7 separate regions of the Mus musculus genome follow, and regions 1, 2, 3, 4, 5 and 6 are each reported to be linked to region 7. The links are microRNA targets in miRTarBase. Many come from high-throughput screens and were not tested one by one. Region 7 holds a microRNA gene; each other region holds the end of a gene's coding sequence.
What was found. The annotated mature microRNA mmu-miR-466i-5p reads UGUGUGUGUGUGUGUGUGUG and lies in region 7 at 1,044-1,063, opposite strand. An mRNA with a match to its seed (bases 2 to 7 or 8) in the 3' UTR can be bound and repressed. Matches are read on the target gene's strand: a 7mer-m8 pairs with bases 2 to 8, a 7mer-A1 pairs with bases 2 to 7 and ends in A, and an 8mer does both.

Region 1: the mRNA of E2f8 is a reported target of mmu-miR-466i-5p. Seed matches in the 3' UTR shown: 7mer-A1 at 589-595, 7mer-A1 at 621-627, 8mer at 622-629, 8mer at 624-631, 8mer at 626-633, 8mer at 628-635 and 10 more.
Region 2: the mRNA of Zfp691 is a reported target of mmu-miR-466i-5p. Seed matches in the 3' UTR shown: 8mer at 2,180-2,187, 8mer at 2,178-2,185, 8mer at 2,176-2,183, 8mer at 2,174-2,181, 8mer at 2,172-2,179, 8mer at 2,170-2,177 and 15 more.
Region 3: the mRNA of Csf2ra is a reported target of mmu-miR-466i-5p. Seed matches in the 3' UTR shown: 8mer at 2,115-2,122, 8mer at 2,113-2,120, 8mer at 2,111-2,118, 8mer at 2,109-2,116, 8mer at 2,107-2,114, 8mer at 2,105-2,112 and 11 more.
Region 4: the mRNA of Slc25a12 is a reported target of mmu-miR-466i-5p. Seed matches in the 3' UTR shown: 8mer at 1,924-1,931, 8mer at 1,922-1,929, 8mer at 1,920-1,927, 8mer at 1,918-1,925, 8mer at 1,916-1,923, 8mer at 1,914-1,921 and 17 more.
Region 5: miRTarBase lists Zfp641 as a target of mmu-miR-466i-5p. Seed matches in the 3' UTR shown: 7mer-A1 at 1,089-1,095, 8mer at 1,090-1,097, 8mer at 1,092-1,099, 8mer at 1,094-1,101, 8mer at 1,096-1,103, 8mer at 1,098-1,105 and 22 more.
Region 6: miRTarBase lists Nkx2-9 as a target of mmu-miR-466i-5p. Seed matches in the 3' UTR shown: 7mer-A1 at 2,492-2,498, 8mer at 2,490-2,497, 8mer at 2,488-2,495, 8mer at 2,486-2,493, 8mer at 2,484-2,491, 8mer at 2,482-2,489 and 18 more.

The regions. Positions count from the first base shown.
Region 1 is chr7:48,864,419-48,867,499 of GRCm38, reverse strand. E2f8 (E2F transcription factor 8) reads left to right here. Exons shown (of 13, transcript NM_001013368.5): 13 at 271-1,071. The coding sequence ends at 453. Among named protein-coding and RNA genes, the nearest start is that of E2f8, 15 kb to the left of the region's middle.
Region 2 is chr4:119,167,614-119,170,694 of GRCm38, forward strand. Zfp691 (zinc finger protein 691) reads right to left here. Exons shown (of 2, transcript NM_001145936.1): 2 at 1,903-3,081. The coding sequence ends at 2,569. Among named protein-coding and RNA genes, the nearest start is that of Zfp691, 5.0 kb to the right of the region's middle.
Region 3 is chr19:61,222,422-61,225,502 of GRCm38, forward strand. It overlaps Csf2ra (colony stimulating factor 2 receptor, alpha, low-affinity (granulocyte-macrophage)), which reads right to left. Exons shown (of 12, transcript NM_009970.2): 10 at 2,903-2,999; 11 at 2,712-2,793; 12 at 1,981-2,612. The coding sequence ends at 2,583. Among named protein-coding and RNA genes, the nearest start is that of Csf2ra, 4.5 kb to the right of the region's middle.
Region 4 is chr2:71,272,537-71,275,617 of GRCm38, forward strand. It overlaps Slc25a12 (solute carrier family 25 (mitochondrial carrier, Aralar), member 12), which reads right to left. Exons shown (of 18, transcript NM_172436.4): 18 at 1,734-2,817. The coding sequence ends at 2,619. Among named protein-coding and RNA genes, the nearest start is that of Dync1i2, 62 kb to the left of the region's middle.
Region 5 is chr15:98,285,844-98,288,924 of GRCm38, reverse strand. Zfp641 (zinc finger protein 641) reads left to right here. Exons shown (of 6, transcript NM_173769.4): 6 at 1-2,803. The coding sequence ends at 453. It overlaps Gm33967 (a long non-coding RNA gene), which reads right to left. Exons shown (of 4, transcript XR_001781762.2): 3 at 1,851-2,800. Among named protein-coding and RNA genes, the nearest start is that of Zfp641, 8.8 kb to the left of the region's middle.
Region 6 is chr12:56,609,073-56,612,153 of GRCm38, forward strand. Nkx2-9 (NK2 homeobox 9) reads right to left here. Exons shown (of 2, transcript NM_008701.2): 2 at 2,321-3,081. The coding sequence ends at 2,648. The region is part of intron 3 of Gm26973 (a long non-coding RNA gene); the gene reads left to right. Among named protein-coding and RNA genes, the nearest start is that of Nkx2-9, 2.7 kb to the right of the region's middle.
Region 7 is chr3:85,465,364-85,468,444 of GRCm38, reverse strand. It overlaps Mir466k (microRNA 466k), which reads right to left and starts at 1,068; the gene lies at 947-1,068. All of the region lies in intron 1 of Gm31419 (a long non-coding RNA gene), which reads left to right.

The DNA.
Region 1 (3,081 bases), not on the chromosome of region 7:
TAATTATGGCAGGGTGAATGACTGAGGGCAACCCTTCCTTCCAGACCCAAGAAGAATGGCCAAGGAATCCATATTACTAGGTTGTCATAAGGTTTTGTTTCTTAGCAAAGTAATTGAGAGTTCAAAGGAATGCGCTGAGGCTCACCTTGCCCACCTAGGATATATTAGTCTCCCAGCAATCCAGATATCATTTAGCTGGGTCTTGAGTCTTCTGGGGAGCATGGTTTACCAGGGTTCTGATACATTTTCCCCTCATTTCTCTCCAATCAGCCTGTTCCTGTGACACCCAAAGGCTCCCAGTTGGTGGCTGAAAATTTCTTCCGTACTCCGGGTGGACCAACTAAGCCTACCAGCTCACCCTACACAGATTTCGATGGTGCTAACAAAACCTCCTTCGGAACCCTCTTTGTCCCACAGCGCAAACTGGAAGTCTCAACTGAGGATATCCACTGATTGACAAGATGGTGGTTTAATTTAATTTTCTAAAGAGCTATTTAATGAGACAATATACACATATAGATGGAGAGAACACCACCTTTAACAATACTGTAAATATTTGGGGTTTTTACTCAATATCACAGCAGATATACACACATGCGCATGCGAGTGCACCCACCCATACACACACACACACACACACACACACACACACACTCATACATGCGCACACATTTGTACAAGACCAAATTCAGCCTTCAGTACTATAAAATAAAATGTTGAACTAAGGTACATTAACTTCTGGGGGAGGGGAATTAATTTTTTCACCTGTGCCTCTATTATTATGCAAAGTAACTTTATTAAAGTTTACTTCCCTTTCAGCAAATGTTTGACTTACCTAACACAGCACCTGCTCAAACTTTTTGCACAAAGGAAATGCTGTGTAATGTATAATGTATTTTTACCTAGGGAGGCGATAGCTATATTTTTTTGTAATTTCTTTAATCCTTTGCTGTTGCAGTCTGTCTTTTTGTAGAGTTTACAACCCTCCTCAATCAAGTCTATGGAAAAAAATTATTTATAAAATGTATTTTTAATCATAAGTTGTTGAAATTAAAACTCTTCTAAAATGCACTTAACATTTTCATTTGGCCACATAGGGCCACTCTCTGTTGGGAGAAACTGACAATTTACCTAATCTCAGAGGCTGGTTCTTGGGAATGGCTTCCTTGGATACTCAGGGGTCATAGGTAGGTTTCACATTCTCCCAACCCCTTGCCCTGTCACAACCCAGAGCATTGCTAGAATAGTGAACGACGTGGTGTGGAAAGGCTAAGAGAGCGGGTGAAAGGCAGGGGAGCTAACATAGTCCTGGCTCTACCCAGCAGCCATTGTCCTACACCTTCTCTATGGAGCAGCTCTAGGGAGGGAAGAGCAGTAAGGGTTCTTTCTTGGCAGGGAACCAACACATACTACACCCCAGTGGGCTCTAGGAGAAAGAATAACTATGGTGTGCTCAAGGTGCATCCTCTTGACCCCATAAGAGACAGGCTGCATGCTGAGAAGACAAGAGCCGCCTCTGGCCAGGGTCTTTCAGGAACATCATACCTGTTTCCTATGTGCTAATGTTGGAAACTACAGACATTTGGATTGCGTGTTATGAACCCAGATCCCAAGGCCACTGAGATAGAATTTAAGGGAACAAGTCCATAGTCATTGCTGTGAGTCAACCTTCCCATCCATCTCCGTGAAACCGAAGACCTGTGGGAGGCTTTGCACTGCTCTGGACATTCATAGGGTCGCCTCTCTTTAGATATGCACTCTGTACGGCCAATGCCAGGTAAGATGACAGATTTTCCTGCTAGTTTAGAGAGCCCTTCTCCTTGAGTGTGTGTAGGTCCTGTGCCTTGCTTCCAATCAAGAAGTCACTGAATGAATGTGGTGTGCGTAGTCTTGTGTGTGGTTATCAGCTCCTATTGGACTAGTTCACATCTCAACTTGAATCTTCGCCGCTTGCTGGCTTTGAGGACTTAACCACCAGAGTCCAACACTGCAAGGAAATAGAGGTGGCCTTTTGGACCTAAAGGTAGCCAGCAGCTAACACAGCCAGAAGGAAACAACTCTAGTTCTGCCGGTAGCCACAGAGAACTGGATTCTGCCAGCAGCCTAACAGTGGAGAACAGGGTACAAAGGGTCCCCGAATGGCTAATGTTTTGAAGGTTTGGTCCCCAGGGCATCAGTGTTTGGAGGTAGGGAACCAGCAGATGAGCTGGAGCATGAATGATTAAACCGTTGACAAACTCATACTTTGATGAAATATGAGGAAGTGGTAGAAACCTTAGGAGGTGGAGCCTGTTTAAAGAAAGCAGTTCTTTGGGGGGGTGGGGGGGTCCTTCAAAGGTATGTCTGGGCCTGGCCCCTTCAGCAATCCTTGACTCATGGCTGCCATGCACAGAGCAGTTTTGCACCAGACAGTCCCCTTTGCTCCCCCCTCCCAAAAAACAATTGTCAAATGGCCATGTGCAGGGACTGCCAAAGTTGTTAGTATCTTTAGATTGTTTTCTGAGATATTTTGTCACCGCAACAGAAAGCTGACAAGAATCAGTCCTCGGGGGAGCCTCAGAAGGACCATAGCCCCAACTGCCTTGGCTGCAGCTTTGAACACCAAGCAGAGGTCCCTGGGCCATGCCAGGCAACTGGCACACTGAAGCAGATAGTACATGGGTGCTGTTTTAAGAGATACTAGGTTTGTGGTAACTCCGTTGAACAACAACAGATATGTGCAGCCACATAGCCCGCCAGCGCCCATAAATACCCTCTTCCTGTCAGGGTATGGTTCATAGGTTTTTAATGGGCATTCACAGAAGGAAAAGTGACTCCACGGGCTTTTCTGGGAACACACCCCATTTCCTTGGCTGGGAACAACTGTCAAGATACTAGGCACTGCACTAATAAAACTTCTCTGAACATTTTTTTCCCCAAACTCCTATCTCTCTCCCCATCTTCCCCTTTTGAGACAGGGTTTAATATGCCTAGGTTGACCTCAAAGTCACTATAGATGAAGATGACCTTGAACTACTGATCCTCCTGCTTCTACCTCCTGAGTGCTGGGCTTACAGGCCTGCCTCACCACTCCTCCTTTAT
Region 2 (3,081 bases), not on the chromosome of region 7:
ACCCCATTCCGGGAGAGGGGTGTCTTCCGATGATTTAGAGGGAGATGTCACTGGGGTTTTGTTGTTGTTGTTTGTTTGTTTTTGAGACAAGATATCTCTACATATCTCTGGCTGTTCTTGAACTCACTATGTAGACCAGAGGGCCTCAAACTCAAAAGATTCGCCTGCCTTGGCCTCCCACGTGCTCTAGATCTCATGTCTCTCATATGAGGTTTTAGGAGTTCACGGTCTCTTGCGCCCCCTGGTGTTCATTCAGTTCTTCAGGCTTTCTGGCACTACAGCAACATGCTTATGATTGTCTTCAGTGGCCAACTGGTATTTAATTTATGCTGAATTATATGCCTAAGGTTTTTGCTCAGGTGCCAGGCATGTACATTCTGTTTCTTGAGACAGGGTCACTCCATGTATCCCTGGTTGTCCTGGATCTTGATATATAGATCAGGCTGGTCTTGAACCCAGAGATCTACCTGACTCTGCCTCTCAAATGCTGGGATTAAATGTGTAGCATATGCTGGGCTACAAGTCTTAAGGTAAAGTTAAGCCTGGTCACACAATTCAAGAAAAGAAATGGGAGGGAAAAGAAAAAGGAAAAAAGGAGAGGAAAGAGAGAAGGGAAGGAAGAGATGTATACAAGTGCTTTGCAAACTGTAAAACACTCTCCATACGCAAGGGAGTCATTTGAGCAGTCTCCTACAGTTTCCATTTATTATGTTACATTTCCTTATTGTGTGTGTGTCCACATGTGCCACAGTATGCATGAGGTCAGAGGGAAACTTATGGGAATCATCTCTCTCCTTCTAACATGTGGGTCCTAGGAATCAAACTCAGGCCGTCAGGCTTGGCAGCAAGCCCCTTTATCCACTGAACCATCTTGCCATCCCAGTCTTCTATAGTTTAAATCAAATTCCTGAGCACTGGGCAGCAGATTCCATTTGCAGTCATGGCATCAATGGCCTCCGTGATCTTGGACAAGCCACTGTCTCCAGCAGCCTGTTTCCATATCTGTGAAGTGTGGATCCACTTTTACCTCTCAAGGTACCTGCGAGAGTTCACGCATATCAAGTTCCTGGTGTATCCTACTCAGGCTGAGTGGCAGGGTCAAGCCACGGGCCATACCCTTGTTAACTCTGGTACCAGAATAACATTCTGGTAACTGGGCACAACTGAAGAGCACTCCTTACGCAGGGAGGCAGGACCCCAGGTTGACGGAAGAGGTAAGAAAGGAAAGCTGGGTGAACGATAAATTTCCAAGTGAGAAACTGACTGGTGAAGCCAGGCCTAAATGAGGACAGGAAACCTTACTGTCCGAGCCCTAGGGACGAATCTACTGCTATTAATGAAACGTTATCATCCGGTTTTAAGAATTTTTATATCACCCCACCCCCAACCCCCTACTCCCTGTCATTGCCATTTCCCCTAGTCACAAGAGGGTTCAACTAATAGTCTCCAGTTTGAAAGGTTCTGATTGTGATGTGACTTCCAAGAGCAAAGAGGTCAAGGCTGTTATCAAGAGGCCACACATAGCACCCACCTCTAGGCCAGCTTCCTTCAGAGGCCAGCAAAGTATATGCAGAAAGCATCGGATGAGCTGAAGAAGCCAGGTCTACACTGGTCCCACCGCACCCCACTGCTTGACTTTCATCTTCTGCCCTGGAGGGTTTCTGTGGCAACCGAATGAGATAAAGAATGGCGTGTACACCCAGCAGCCTACCGTGTGGATGTTCATTCAGGTGACCATTTCCCTCCCCCTCCTCTTCAAAGGCTCCAGAGGCTCGGCCCCGCTGTCCTTCACATCTCAGAGGAACCACCACCTTCTCAGAATTCAACTCCACGCCTTTGCAGAATGGCTGCCCTGGAATACTCTCCCCGGTGCCCCACATCCCCAAATAAGTACACAGGTTCTTTTCACTGAAGTGTTTTACTGGTGACCACTGAGGAGACAGACACAAGTCGGGGTAAGAAAACCAGGTAACAAGCATGGGAGGGTGAGGGTCCCTGGATTGTGGATCCCTGAGGCTTCCTTCTCAGACTGAAGAGGCCGGTCACCAGGAGGGCCATGCCCCCCCCCCCTCCCCAGCCTGAGGCTCTAGAGGCTGACACAGGATGAGGCACAGCAGGTAGGAACTCACAGGCTACTGCCGTGTGTGTGTGTGTGTGTGTGTGTGTGTGTGTGTGTGTGTGTGTGTGAAGCTAGACAACTTTGGAGGACCTGTAGACAACGACACCGTCTCAGGCACTACCCCCAAAGCCTGGGGACTGATGACTGATGACCCAGTCACAAGAGCATGTCCTGAGCCCATCCCATTTCCCCCACAGCTGAGGAAATGAAGAGTGGGCACTCTGAATTTCCAAGGCAAAAAAAAAAAAAAAAAAAAAAAAAACCTGCTGGGAAGAGGCAGGGTGTTTACTCAGCCCCTTCTCAGGATTTCCTGACTGCAAAGGCAAGAAGGGGCTGTTCCGCAAAGTGAAGGGTTTGTAGTCTTGGAGGCCACAGCAGGTACTAAAGGCCTCCTCCACCCATCAAGGTGGGCTCTATGCTCTCCCTCACTCTCCAAGCAGGCCTCTCCTTTAGCTAAAATCCTTCTCATCTTGCTCGCCCAAGTGTGTTTTCTGGTGTCGGATGAGGTTGGAGCTCCGGGAGAAGTGTTTCCCACACAGGGTGCACCTGTACGGCTTCTCCCCTCTGTGCGTTCTCTGGTGTGCACCAAAGTTGGAGATATCACTGAAAGTCCGCCCGCATTCAGTGCACTCGTAAGGCCTCTCACCCGTGTGGGTACGGTGGTGCACCCCAAAGCTGGAGCTGTTGCTAAAGCTCTTCCCACACTCACAGCAGATGTAAGGGGCTGGCTCCAGGTGGGTCCGGTGATGTACAGCCAGCGTGGAGCTCTGAGTGAAGCTCTTGCCACAAATGTCACAGCGGTAGGGCCGCTGGCCCAGGTGATCTTGCTGGTGCGTGGTGAGGTCCGAGCGCCGCCGGAAGCTCTCCTGACACTTGGCGCATTGGTAGTGCTTCTCTTCCAGGTGGATGCGCTCGTGCCGGATGCGGTTGGAGCTCCGGGAGAAACTCTTGCCACACTCGGA
Region 3 (3,081 bases), not on the chromosome of region 7:
TGGCTTCCCATGAGAACATACACCCCTCAAATGAACATTTGCACTTAGCCTTGTACAAAAGACTATGGTTTGGGTCTAGGGTCTAGATTGTATTCATTTTCTCTGCCAGTTAAATAACTAAAACAGGAGAAATCCACAGCATTACAGGCAGCAGTGTTATGGGGATGTCCATGAGAGAGGACTCCTAGGACATGGGTTTAAACCAATAGAATATCTCTATTAGCCAGCAGGCAGTAGTGCTTGGTGTTAGGGATCCCAGGGTTGCACCAAACCTTTCTCAGGGTGAGTTTTTTTAAAAAGATTTATTTATTAATTTTATTTATGTGAATACACTGTAGCTGTCTTCAGACACACCAGAAGAGGGCATCAGATCTTATTACAGATGGTTGTGAGCCACCATGTGGTTGCTGGGAATTGAACTCAGGAAGTCTGGAAGAGCAGTCAGTGCTCTTAACCGCTGAGCCATCTCTCTAGCCCTCAGGGTGAGTTTTAAATACCAAAGCCATATTCTAGGTTGACATACTTCAAATGGTAAGAACAGTTAGCCAGAAGCAGAAGTACAATAGCCAAAAATCCTGGTTAGTACTGAAAGATCCTGACAGAATATAAAAGGTCACAGAAACCCTGAAATTGGCAAGATAGATTTCATTGCTAGCAGAACTAGCTTCACTGACTTAGAAAAATAGAGGTGCACAATGCTCTGGCCACTCCTTGAACCCGTGTGTCTGCCAATGTTTTTGACCGTTCCTTGAACCCATGTGTGTGCCCACTGATGAAGCCCATTGCCAGGTGTTTGTGATATTGGCTGCTGGGAAAGAGTCAGAGAATCTCCCCAGCAACCACAGCCAGGTCAATCCGGAGTTGCTACACCTGCACCAGACTCTTTCCTTGTACCCCTCCCATACCCATTTCTTGAGAATAGACATTGTTTAGATCTGGAAATCCCCTACAACCCCCTACTCCTTTCCCCCCTGAGGGCCTATAAAAACTGGGACCTCTTTCCCCTTGAGGTTGACTCCTCTACCCCTGCGTGGGATATGAGTCGTCCCCAGAGCTCTGGCTTTCCCCAAATAAAGCCTCATGTGGTTTGCATCAAGCTTGGTCTCTCGTGAGTTCTTGGGTGTCCGATATTGTCCCAAGGACTGAGCGAGGGGCTCCTCTCGGAGTCTTTCAGTATATTTAGGGACCTTCTCAGAACTATGGACTTTGATGGATTTTGCTTTTGTTTTATTTATGGTAAATGGTACTGTCTATGTGCTCAGTTTTTTGGTTTTTTTTTTTTTTTTTTGATTCAGTTAAGTTCTGTTCCACTAGTAGCTGGAAAAGAAGGGGGAGAAACAGAAGTGACCTGGAACAATACGTCTCAGGACAGCCAGCCACCTCCATCTTGATGAGGGAGATTAGTCAGAGGACAAGATGGCTGCCATCCACATGTCTGTCGCCTTTCATCTTTGTGAGGTCAATGTGCAACCGAGTGACAGAACAAGGAAGTAGACATGCAGACAACAGACATGCAGGTGCACTACCTCCCTTCTGTTTTTGGATAAGAGACACACAATTTTTATTATTTACAGTAAGCCTTAAACAGCACTCTGACAGCTGGGCAGATATCTACCTTCTATGTAATTAGAATTTCCTTTTTTCTTTTCTTTTATTTTTTTTAATTCTCAGGACCTGCATGGTAGCTTCTCCTAGGTTCTGGTGCCCTCTTCTGGCATGCAGTCATATAAGGCAGCAGATAGAGCACGCACACACACACACACATTTACATTGAAAACTAATAGTAATAATAAATAAGTAATAATAAGAAAAAAAGATCCTAGCTTCGGCCGGGCTGTGTGGGTGGCAGAGGCAGGCAGGCAGGCAGAGAGGACCTCTGTGAGTTTGAGGCTACCCAGGCCTACACTGAAAGTTCCAGGCAGGGATGCCGGGGCTACACCAAGAGAAACCCTATCTGGGGCAAAAGAAAACAAAAGCAGAAAATGTTCTGGCTTTTATTTTACAGACATATGATTCTTCTAGTACTACTGACTATCGAACTTTGATCATGAAGGCACGTTGGATTTTATGACAGTTTGTGTCTGTGTGTGTGTGTGTGTGTGTGTGTGTGTGTGTGTGTGTGCTGGCTGTTAAGGTAAAATATTAAGGGTTAGGGTTTGTTAAGAACTGAGCAAACTATTACGGTGGGGATATGCACGCTGTCCCTGCCATCCCTGGAACTGAGGCAGGAGGATGGCCACGAGTACTGATTTTTTTGGGATGGGCGGCCTTGATTGACAGTGGCAGGCTTCCCAGTCACCTGTGCTTCCTGTCGGGGTGGGCGGGGCTATAGAGGAGGATTTGGTTGGACTGTGATATCACGGTGACATCAATGTCGTTAAACATGCCCTTCCAGGGTGATTGACAGGATGAGACTGGACACGCCCACTTTGGTGATTGATGAACAGGGCAACAGGGGTCCAGTCACACCAGACGTGGGGGTGGGGAGCGGTCACGATGACGTCTATCAGCATCGCTTCATGACATCAGTTGATGTCATGAAGTTTAAGTCCTTCCTGTCAGTCACGTTGGGGGCGGGACGTCTAGGGCTGCAGGAGGTCCTTCCTGAGGGTCTGGGGGGGGGGGGTGGACGGGGGTCAGAGGTCACGCCTTGGGTTACAGGGGACAAGCCTCGCGCCCCACCCCCACCACGAGCGCTTGTGACTTTTGACCTCAGGGTTCACTCGCACGTCGTCGGACACCTTGTCCCTGATCCCTGGGATGGGCGGGAAGAGTCGGCGCGTCACCTCGAACCTGAGGGAGAGGGCAGGGCAGGGCAGGGCAGAGTTCACAGTGGCCATCCCCCTGCCTCACTCTCTCCATCCCGGCCATCCCCCTGCCTCAGCCCCCGCCGTCGCCCCACCTCCTGCACGTCACTCCGAGCGCCAGCGCGCACAGTAGGACTGCGCAGGCTGTCACTGCATACAGGAGCGCACCGGGCACTCGCGTGTCCTCAGCCTCTGTGGGGTGGGAGGGAGAGGTCAGGGGACCGGAAGTAGCGCGTTCGCAGTGGACGCGGAGGGCGGGTCTCCCGGGGAGTGG
Region 4 (3,081 bases), not on the chromosome of region 7:
TAGATCCAAGAGGCCAGCCTGGACCACGGTAGATCTTGTCTCAAAAAGGGGGAAGAGGACCACAGTATTTAAGGATGTATATGTGAGCAGGAAAACCAAGCAGAAATGAAGACATGGTAAGGGGATGGGGTAAAGACTGGGGAGAAGTGCACGGGTACTTCTGGCTGGTTGAGAATGTTGTATTTCTTGACCTGGTCATCGCATGAGTACTATTTTAACCTGTATGCACTTTTCTGTGTCTATGCCTTAGATACTTCATATGCCTTCTGTATATTTTACAAAAAGAAAATGTACAGATGACCAGTAAAAATGAAAAGACAGCGAATGTTCTGCCCACACCTACAATTCCAGCACCTTATTGGGGAGACCAAAGGTTACCACAGGTTCAAGGCTAGCCTGATCCACATAGGGAGTTCCCAGACTCTGAGGTTGCAAGAGTGAGACCCTGTCTCAAAAAACAAACAAACAATAAAAAGACATTCATTCAAGCCCATTAGCAATTAGAAAAATAAAAACTGCAACAGTGACCTCTGTTTATGATCTGCCTGTGAACCGGGCAATCTTAACTTGCCCATGGGGCAGGAGATTGAGACCTCTGTGAACAGCAATGTGGCGAGATGTATACAAAATAAAAAACCCGTCTATTTTATGAATTAGTCCCTAACAAATACTAATATACAATAACATATCATGACACACACACAGAGATATTCTCCTCTAACTACAGTGTTGTTAATAATAATGAAATGACTATTTTAAAAAGGCTTCATAATCCATACAGTGAAATAATACACAGCTACTAGAAACAGGATACACTTTCTATAAACTGATGTGGAAAGAGCTCAGGGACATACTAAGAAAACCAAGTCACGGAATCACACATACATTGCATAGCCCTGGTTCTAAATATATAAATATGTACATATGGAGATGTATGGAAAACAGATCACAAATTTATGCTCTAACCTCTCAGCAAAGGATGACAGGAATGCTGGTTGAAGAGGAGGTAGCGAGGGCACTTTGTCATCGTCTTACACACACACACACACACACACACACAGACACACACACACAGACACACATGTAATTTCATGTCCTTGAACTACTTGTATAATTTTAACAAGCATAGCAAGAACAATTAATTATGCTGTGTGTTCAGTTCTAATGGGACTAATCCAACACATTTAGAAATAGCCAGCTTTCAAATATCTTTTGTTCTTAGGGTTTCAAGAAAGCTCAGAGTTGCAGATACAGGGTTGTCAGCCACCAACTGGTGAGCACTGTGAGGGGCACTTGGTGACTTGGGCCATCTCCAGGTTCACCTCTAATGATATCTGCATATATCCTCACAGCCATGGCCACAGCCGTGCTTTCCCAGAGCTATTCGCTAAAGTTAGTAAGTCCTGATGTTGCCAGCTATCAAGTAACAGCCACAGTAAATGTGGCTGTAGGTCAGAAGCAATTGTTAAAGAGTAAATATGGGCATGTGTGTGTGTGTGCACACACACACGAGAGAGAGAGAGAGAGAGAGAGAGACCTTCTGAGGAAGTCATCTCCATCTGAACTCCTAGCAAGGACCCAGGCTCACAAAATCACCATGTAGGAACCTCCCCGCTTCCCTCCCTCACTCCACCCGAGTTCCTTCTGTAACAAAATATGCATCCCCTAGGAGCAGGCGAGTGCAGACAAAAAAGCCCCGAGAGGAGACCTAGGAAGGAAACCAACTCCATGCAGACATTTTGGTGTGCTTTTATTTTTGATTCGTATCATACTTTACGAAGGGAAACTTCCAAACTTTACTCTTGCAACATCCTGACCTTGACCTTGCTGCATAGGAGAAAAGCAGAACTAAGCGAGCCTTGCTGGAGCCCATCCCGTTCGTGTGTGTGTGTGTGTGTGTGTGTGTGTGTGTGTGTGTGTGTGTGTGTGTGCGCGCGCGCATGAGGAGCTGCTTCCAGCTGACAGGAGGATTACACTCAGCTACAAACGACTGGAAACACAGCAGCCCGTGAGTCACCGGCTCATCCTCTGGCATCCACGGGCAAGCACCCTTCCCACGCGTTTCTTATTTAATGTGGTGAGCATTAAGTTTCGCTCTGCCTTGTATCAGCAAATACCTTCCTAGTCGCGAATGGAAAACAAACTGAAACTGGATACATTCAAACATGGCTGCTTGATTTCCATAAGTCATCAGGAGGAGAATGAATTTAACTTTAGTACATTTATTCTTACATGATTCATAATAAAACACTTTCAAAACCTTCTGTACAGTTCAAGCCACTCAGAACAGCGTTTCATGTTTATAAACGTGATTTGTTGGGATGAGGTGCCGAGGTGTCTCTGTACAAAGATGTACAATATGTACAGTCACTGTAGGTACAAGCTGTGCGAAGCAGAGTCTAGAACACGTAATTCATGCCAAGGCTCAGAAAACATTTCAACACGTAAAGACTAAAGCTTGAAACTGCACTGCGGCTCTCCCTGGGCGTATGATCACTTTATAAACAATACATGTATAGGTCGTATAGAAAGTGGTTGACCCCAGCGCTGACAGTACCATGCAGCTGACTGGACACGGTACCGCCCGTTCTCCTGGGCCTCGGTCTGTACTTGCTATGTCATTGGGCTGCTGCTGCCGCCTTGGGCTGAGCCACAGCTACGCTAGGAGACTTAAACTTGGGGAGGTAAAGGCCAAACTTGTTTTCAATGCCAGCGAAAGTGGCCGTGGCAAGTCTGTAGCCACCGATGTGATCGGGGTTGGCAGGAGGGAGGTCTGCGATGCGGGACTTTGGCGTTGGTTCTGAGCCAGAAGGTTTGCTGTGAACAGGAAAAAGCAGACCGTTAGGGATCTCAGGGCTTACACTTTGAGCGGGGTCTGTGACAGCCACACCCCATGGAGAAGGCTCTCTCAGCTCTCTCCATGTCTCCTGCATCAATCATGATATCCAGCGTCACCACAGCATTGCTTTCACATACGTCATAGAGAAGACAAACGGCCCCACCCCCACTGCTTATGAGCAGACTTGAGGGCAGAAAAATAAACGGAAGAGAAAATGCACTCCATTAGTAATAGTCTTTGGG
Region 5 (3,081 bases), not on the chromosome of region 7:
ACTGGAGAGAGGCCCTACAGCTGCCTCAAGTGTGAGAAAAGCTTTGGGCGAAGGCACCACCTGATCAGGCACCAGAAAACCCATCTGCATGACAAGCCAAGCAGGTGCTCTGAGTGCGGCAAGAGTTTCCGATGCAGCTCGCACCTGGCCAGCCACCAGAGAGTGCACGCAGACAGCAAGTCCTGCAAGGGCCAAGACTTTGGAGAGAGTCCTGCGGCTCAGCACTGCGTGCCTCCCGTGCCAAAGTGCCATGTGTGCACTGAATGTGGGAAGAGCTTTGGCCGGAGGCACCACCTGGTGAGACACTGGCTGACCCACACCGGGGAGAAGCCCTTCCATTGCCCTCGCTGTGAGAAGAGCTTTGGCCGCAAGCACCACCTAGATAGGCACCTGCTGACCCACCAGGGACAGAGTCCTGGGAGCAGCTGGGACAGAAGGACAGCTGCCTTTTGAAATCTGTCTCTTCTGTAGCCATGGTCATATCTGTCAGCCGGTGCTACCAGCAGCCACTGCCAGAGCTGGCCCTCTCCTGTACCCTGAGGGCCAGAGTATTTCTCACCATTTCTGTGAGACAACGTGGGAAAACAGAGTTCTCTGGGCAAAATTGTGGGAAATGGTGCAAAGTATGTATGTGTGAGGCTATTCATGCTGAACCTACTCTCAAGGGAACCAGCAGTGATAGCTGAGGTCCATTCTCACTGGTTGGGGTCCATGTGGTACCAGTTCCCAAGTATTTACTCTACACAGAGAGAAAGTGAAAGCGGCTGTTAGTATATCAAGGGCTCTGAGAACCCCCACAGTCAATTTCTATTCATGTAATGTTTCCTAAATTTGTTTGGCTCCAAGATCTACATCAAATTCTACAGAATGGGTGACTCCATGAAGTACTGGGCTAAGATGAAAGGAAGAAACAGGAAAGAGATGGTGATCAGGCATTCGGAGCTTGAGAGCAAGGGGCCAGACACTCTCATGTGGGTCTGCCTCCTCTCTTCCTCTTCTCTCTTCCCCTGTGATCACATGCCTCTCACTCCTCCCTCTGAAAAGTATAGAGTGAGCTTTCACTCCCAGTTCATAGTCCCTCATCCTGTACACACACACACACACACACACACACACACACACGTTCAACATGCACATACCACACACAACCACATGGATGCATATGCACACACATGCACACATGCTACACACACACACACACACACACACACAGCTGAGAGATCAGGTTACAGAGCTAAAGAGTGAACTTTGTTACCCAAGTAATCAAGGCCCACACAGAAGGAAAAACTATCCCCTTGAACAGAGCTTTCTCTTGTCTGTGTTTTTGTGTCCGTGTGTGTACGTGTGCAGGGTCTTTGAAGACAGCATGCTCAGTGCGAAATGTACAAGTTAGGTTTTCTAGGAACTGTGTTCTAGGGATAAGGGTAGTGGGGACGGTATGAGTTTTGGTTTTGTTTAAACGTATTCTGAGTGGTACAGGGAGTCGTAGTGGGATGGTGTAACAATGGCTTGAGTTGTGTACAAAGTTTTCCTTGGTATTCCTGGGATGTAGACAGTTGTGGATTTGTATATCTAGGTCTGAATCCCTGGGAGGAAATTCCCTTCCCCTACAGAGACGGAAAGGGACAGTGACTTGTTGTTGTTGTTGACCTCGAGCAATGTGATGGTGGTTCGTGCTGCGTGGGGTTCTGTCTTGTTTTGTTTCACGTGCTAAAACTATCAGGACAGGGGTCACAGCCCTGGGAGTTACTCTTGTCATCCTAGTTTGGCTTTCATCAAAGGGAAGAATGGTTGCTGAGCCTCTCATTCTCCCAGGAAAAAGAACCGGAGGAGAAAAGGCTGTTGCTTACCTTGCCGACCTGAGGCTACTGAGCTTCCTGAAGGTGTTCCTGCTGCCTCTGGAAAGGGCTTCACACTTTGGCTCTTGCCTCTGAGGTTAGCGCCTGCACCAGGGTTCAGACAGATGTCCCCATGCCTGTCAGTTCACGAGTTTTCACTGTTTTTTTCTTTTTGGTGACTGTGTTAATACACATCTTACAACTTAACCTCTATTTAAGAGAAGTTTGGAGTCAGGGAGGAACAGAAGCAAAGAATGTAAGAGGGGGTGTCTTCAAGGCTCACGCACGGGCTGCTGCTTCTCCTTGAGATATTTATTTCTCGAACACTGTTAGAATTAGCCAGAGAAGACACAGGAGGAAGTGATTTTCAGCGATCTAGTTAATGAGTGCTCTGCTTGAGAAAAGCTGGGTGAATCAGAGAGAGCTCTTGGGCCCTTGGCTCGAGAGGAATGGAAACAGAGTTATTCTGCTGACTAGGCATTTTGGTTAAATTGAGCAGCCCAGCCTCCAACCTCTTTCTGCAGCTGCTCAGAACAGCCTCCCTTCTTGAGCTAGGATGCATTCTCTTGCTTGTGTTCTGATGAATCAAGCAAAAAAAAAAAAGGGGGGGGGCAACCTTGCAAGCAGGCCTTAGTCTCCGGGGATTGGAGTCGTTCTAGAGTCAATGTGATGAGAATGAGAAAACTCGCCCACTTTAATACACATATTTACGATAAAGTCAGCTCTGTGCAAAGCAATCCCTTCGGAATCCGGTAGAAACCAGGCAGAAAAGTAGACATTTACAACTCACTCATTTGCATATGCATTGGACAAGTGGACTCAGAGCCTGCCCTTGGCATCTCCAAAGGAGAGGAACAGTTGGTGGTGGTGTCTCTCTCACATCCTTAATCCCAGCTTCAGGGAGGCAGAGAGAGATGGTTTCTGCGTTCTGGATGAGCCAAGGCAATGTAATGAGATCCTGTCTGAAAACAAAACAAAACAAAACAAACAAAACATAAGGGATGTATCCTTCCTGACTGGTTGTTGTGTAGATGACACTTGTATCAAGAACTACAAGGCAAGATTCATCAAGTATTTTAAGGATTTAAATACTAGAAGGCACCAGGAGATGAGGACAGAGCCAGGCCTTCAATGGCTAAGGCACGGCTTAGACTGACTGTGCCCTGTTCTTAGGGAACATCAACGTGCTCATGGCTCAGCTCACAAAGCCGGCTTTAAACGCTTGTGGGTGTTAATGTTCCTA
Region 6 (3,081 bases), not on the chromosome of region 7:
AACTGTCCTACTTAGGGGAAGCTTGGAGGGTGGCTAAATATGAGGCAAACTAAGGACAATAGTAACATCCTTTGAGGTTTATAATTACTTTGTGCCAGTTTCTTGTCTGTAAAACAAGATCCGCTAGGCCCCCCCTCTTTCTCCCTCTCCCTGTCCCTCTCCCTCTCTCTCTCTCCCTGTGTGTGTGTGTGTGTGTGTGTGTGTGTGTGTGTGTGTGTGTGTGTGTTTATGTGTGTGTAAGGTTTCTGTGAGATCAGCTATGAATGTACCTGGAAACACAACAAATTTCACTGCAAGCTTTTTGAGTGTGAATCTATCCTGTCATGTCCAAGGTGGATGGCAGGATCAGACACTTGCTCTGGGGAGGGAGACCCTGTGGAGAGGGAGCCCCTGACTATCTTCACAGCTGTTGGCAGAAAAGACTTGGATTCAGCTTTTGAGCCACAGAGGAAATGAGCACTTTTCTATTTGATCATAGGTATGGACAGAAGAGCATAGATGTCAACCCGAGTCTCTAAAATGAAACCTTGAGATGTGGATGCATTTTTCTCTTTCCATGGGGTCTTTTATTTCTGAAGAAAGGACTTTCTGGCCAATGACAAAAGAATATAAAAGACTAACAGTTTGTATATCATGCCTGCTGGTGCCACTGTCCCCTTCCTGTCCAGAGCACAGTTGGCTCACTGGGTCCATCCTGCTGTGACTCAAATTTGGCTCACCATTTAGGACCATGATGAATCTGGATGTGAGTACACTTTCCCCTCACCCTTGTTAAATCAGCCTCCCTACAGACCCCATCCCTTTTTTCTTCAGATTTCACATTTATAGACCCTTCCCACTCCACAGGGTCCAAGATCTGCTGAATAGGTCTCTTCTAAACTTTCTCCCATTCATGCAGGAAGAGCATGGAAGAGCCAAGCTCACAGCCAGCTACAAATCCCAACCCAGGCCTTCCTTAGAAATCCCTTCCTCTTTTTCTTTCACATCTGCTCGGCCAAATCTAACAGAGAAGCTCCTACAGGTCCCAGTATATGTCTTACAATGTTGGGGCTCCCTCCCTACCAATCATTTGTTAGAAAGGGGTTTTATGATACAAATTTGATAATCTCCCATGCACATTGGCACTATTCTAATTGAAGTTGTAAGCCCATAAAATTCAAGCCCTTTGTCTTCCTGAAGGCCACAAGGTTTAAAAAGATACTATTGTCCTGCCTAACACCCACTACATTGTCTCCAGGGACTGATTAAACAGAGTTCTGAATTGAAACAGTGAGGATTTTGTCTAGGTCCTTTTTAGGCCTGACAATGCCTTTTTCAGTATCCAGCACAAAAGGAGGTTTAAGGATGGAGATTCTTCTGAGATAGCCACATCCATATGGAAGACAAGGTGACAGGCAGCTGAGACCCAAATGTACCATCCACACACCCCCATTCCAGGTGACAACCTTGATGCCTTCTCCTCCTCCTCTTCCTCCTCCTCCTCTTCTTCTTTGGACAAGAAATCGAGGACCTTTACCAAGCCTAATGCTTTCTCTTCAGACCTCATCAGGGGCCTTGTCCCTGTTCCTGGACCAACTGGACACCTCTCTCCTCTCCTCTTTCTGAAATGGGTTTCCAGAGATAAGGTCACAGCTTCAGAGACAGCGACTGCCTGCCCTGGATTTCCTCCCTCACTATATACCCAGGAAAAGAACAGGGGCAAACCAAGGCCTGGAATGGAAAGGAGATCATTCCGTGTGTGCACTGCTGACTGGACTCTTACTAGCCGATCGCACCCCAGCATAGCAATCCTAGCATTACCCTCTTTCCCTAGGGTAGCCTGGAAACAGTGCCCTGGGCAGGTCATTCTGTGGCCCTTTTTATTTCTTCAATGCCCTCCCTCTCCAGTCCCACCACTGCCGGGTAGAGGAGGCAGGAAACAGCACATTGAAGCGCTCATGGCATTAACTGTATGTTCCAAGTTCCTTGCTTCCAAGCTCCTCAATCCTCAAGTCCTGGAAACAGCCTTGAGTCAGGACCCTGCTCGAGGGGCAGGATAAGCTTTCAGTCTTGGAGCCAGAGACTAAAGAATCTCCAGCTTCACTCTGCAGAGCTACCCAGATCGCCTCCGTTGCCTCTCCTACTCCCTTTCCTCCCAAAGTCTTGTTGGGACTTTATTCTGACCTACAGTATAAACCGGGGATGGGTCTCAGTGTAAATGGTCTTTCCACCTCCAGCCAAGGGAAACCAGTTTCCATCCCTTTAGTGGTAGGAGCGCCAGCGACCCAACCCTCCACAGTATAATCTAGCGCAACAAGTCAAGGGGAAAACACTCTATTTCTTTTTTAAAAATAAGTTGCTTCATACAAGTCGCTATTTTAAAATATACAAATAATGCTCAAGAAATAAAATCTTGCTCTGGGACTGGCGCCCGGGCAACCATTCCGAGTCTTGGAGACAGTCCCTTGTGTGTGTGTGTGTGTGTGTGTGTGTGTGTGTGTGTGTGTGTGTGTGTGTGTTTGCCGGTTAGGGCAATCCAGGGACCCAGGACTCAAGAAGGGCTCCTGCAAGGGTCACCTCCTGACTTTGGTGTGGCTGTAGCTCTACTGCGGCGGACCAAACAGCAATGTCCCAAGTCTAGGGTGGCTTTAGGCACTCCGCAGCAGCCTCACCAGTTCCAGGAGACCAGAGCTGGTGGTGCTAAGTGCTGGTAGGCTGGGAAGAGGCCAAGCGCCGAGCCCGGTCCGAAGGCGGTGTAGCCTGGCACCGGACACGCAGTGGCCAGGCGTGCGCTGCACTTGTCCTGGGGCACCGCAGAGGTCCCCTCACCTCTGCCGTTGTTGCTCGGTGGCCGGTCGTGAACCAGCACGGGTACCACTACGCGGCGCAGCAGGCCGGGAGCGGCGTGCAGATCAGATGATGCTGCCATATCCGAAGGCTCTGTGATCCCAGGCGCTCGCCCTCGCTTCAGCTTGTAGCGGTGGTTCTGGAACCAGATCTTGACCTGCGTGGGCGTGAGGCGCAGGAGTCGAGCCAGCTGTTCCCGCTCCGGCGCCGACAGGTAGCGCTGCTGCCGAAAGCGCCGCTCCAACTCCAAGGTCT
Region 7 (3,081 bases):
GAATGAATGAATCTATTTCCTATTTCCTTCGAAATTTGAGCCTCTGCACAGGCTGAGATGTACTGGCGTGCTTTGTGTTGTTGTTGGAGGTGGAATCTGGGGTCTTGTATATGCTGGGCAAGTGTTTCATCATTGAGCTATAACCCAAGAGCTAAAAAACTTGTTCCGGTGGCATTAGGGTAGCAGACAATTTTTGGGGAAATGAAGTTTGTTTCCAGAAGGCCTAGGGCTGTGGAATCCTGGGTATAATGGATGCTTAGAAGAGAAGAGATGACTTCAGGTCTCAAGGACTGAGGACATGTCCCTAGTTTTCAGTGACTGGCTTTTATACCACCAGAAGCTCTGCACACTCTGTACTGACCCTTTTCCTGTGAACTTCCCTGTGTAACATTTGTTCCTCTGTTTTATCAGCTGAATGATGGAACCTCACAGCCAAGAACTTTGAGAGGTCAAAAGGACCTGGCTGCTTCCTGCAGGTGGCAATGGCTTCCTTTCTTCTTCAGCCTTTAGACAGTTTGGATTTCAAATTATTCCATCACTTTCTAGAACATTCCAGATCCAAGCTCTCCTCTCCTATCACAGATGTATTCTGCAGCGCTGGGCCTCTCTACTGCATGTGGTTGTGGGAGAAGAAAGCCGCTGAGGTAGTTGAAGCCATGTTTAGCTTTTAGTTCTGTGAGGCAAGAGGGCCAGGACAGAGCATTTCCCCTTCCCTGTCAAGATATCAGCACCTGCTTGGGAAGCCAGAAGATGGAGGAGTAAAAAAGCTCCTGTTCCTCGGGGGCTTGCAGGTAAGGTCACGGCCAGTGCAGAGGTGCCAGTCTTCTCCTGCCCTATAAGGCTGCTGCTACCTGTGAAAGATCAGTGCAGTTGCTTACCTGTCACCTAGGCCAGATGGAGACACAGCCATCGGAGTCACAATTAGTAACACCTACTCACCATACACACACATGCACATGCACACATATACACATATATTCACATACTCACACACATGCACATGTACAAACATATACACACACATACTCACATGTACATGTACACACACACACACACACACACATATATATGTATATACACACCTGCACACACACACACACACACACACACACACACACACATATCAATAGAGAACATGCATATACACGTACATGCACTCATGCACATGCACACCCATGTGTATATGCACACACATACATACACATATACACATATGCATGCACACACACACATACACTTATTTCTATAGGAGGGTGTACATGAATGTATATCACATGCACACATGTATATGTGTGTGAATATAGGTGAATATACAGCCCCTCCCATCCTGGAAACTAGCACATTCATATAAGACACCATAATACAGCTTTTCAATATTTTCTTTTCTGTAAGAAAGTAGGGAATTGACTGAAGTCCAGGGCTGTTGCAGTTCAGAAGTTCGGCTCTTTATCTAAATGTGGCCCTGAGAGTTAGGCAGCAGATGGAGGTAACATGGCAGCTTCCAGGGCTTGGAGTCAATGACTTCAATGAACAAAAACAGACACTTTCTTTTACTCGCTCCATTGAGAACATGACCACACATTCCTGGCTCACAGGAGACCCCTAAATCTGGAGGCCACTCCACGATGTCTCCTCATCCTTAAAGTAGAAAGTGGGACTGCGGAATCTGTCATGTGCTCCATCTTGGGCCACTGATGGGGTCTGTGTGAGATGAGATCTGATTTGCCTCGGTTATTCTGGGATGCACATTGGCTACTCTGCCCACTTCATCCATTCTGAGCTACTACCAATCTCCATCCTTACAGGCAGCAGCCAATTTGAAACGTACAGTTGTATACTCCCACTTCAGGTTACTTTTGCCAACACATATTACCTTATGTTTATTTGAGTTAAGTTTCGTCTGCCTGCAGGCTGCACAATCCCCCAAAGTGTTCCGATGCACCTGGAATTTCTTGCAAATCTTCTCTGTTTTTATTAGCCACAACAGTTTGGAACTAGTTGAAACCTCTGGGAAGAGATTAGACAACAATTACTGCCCGTTGCTCATGTAATGTCTGGCCAGGTACATGAGCCAGCAGGCCTTGCTTGGCGGGGTGGGGGTGGGTGGGCATGATAGCATTTCTATCCACTGGTCTGTCTTTTGAACTCTCAACTCTGGACAGGTACCAGGGAGCCAGCCTATCCTTGGGGTGTATGTCTACACAGGGGCATAGAGCTGTCTTATTTACAGGTTTTAGAAGCTACTGCTCTGGAGCCAAGGGAATGTGTGTTATCAAGGCCCACTCTGTCTGGTCCCCTTGGATATTACAGAAAGAAGGGACAGAAGAAGAGAGCCGAGGGAGGGGAAGGAAGCTTGCAGCACTGCTCGCTATGCTGGGTTCTGTAAAATCAGGTGATTAGACATGGGAGGAGGAAGGACAGAAGTATCACCCTTCGGACTCCTCTGGAGAGGCTGAGACATCACCATGGTCACATCCTGGAATCTGGGAATGAGGACTGGTTGAGGCTGGAAGCCACTGTCCTCAAGACCAGGTAGGACATCAAGGACCAGTTCCACGAGCCAGGATGGAGGAGGTGAAGCGGGCTGCTGCTTGCGGAAAGCAGCTTCTGTGAGCAAGGCTGGTGTGTGGGCAGCAGCTTAGGCTGAACGGATCCCAGAGCGTTCCAGCGAGCTAATCTTGTCAGCCTCAAGCTGTTCCACAGACAGTGGGTGTGAATCCAAAGCCATCTTAGATGCTCAGCTCTCAAATGTTTCTTTTAAGAAAATAAAAAAAGAGAGATTGAAGGTACACCAGACCCAAATGGGCCAGTTACCTGGGAAGGTTAGACTTGTGAGCTGTGAAGTGCAAGTATGCAGATGTTAGAGACGATGGGATGAGATGTGTGTATGGGGGTGGATGTCTCTTCTCTGTCAGCTATATCCCTGGATGAGAGTGTCTGTCTCCTTCTGCCTCAAGGATACTGTATATATCTGCTCCACGTGTAGAAGCAGAAGTCAGTGGTATCCAGTCTCCAGCCCTGGACTCGTCTTCTCTCCTGTTGTCTCTGCTTTCATAGTCAGTTGACTGTGCCTGCTTAAAC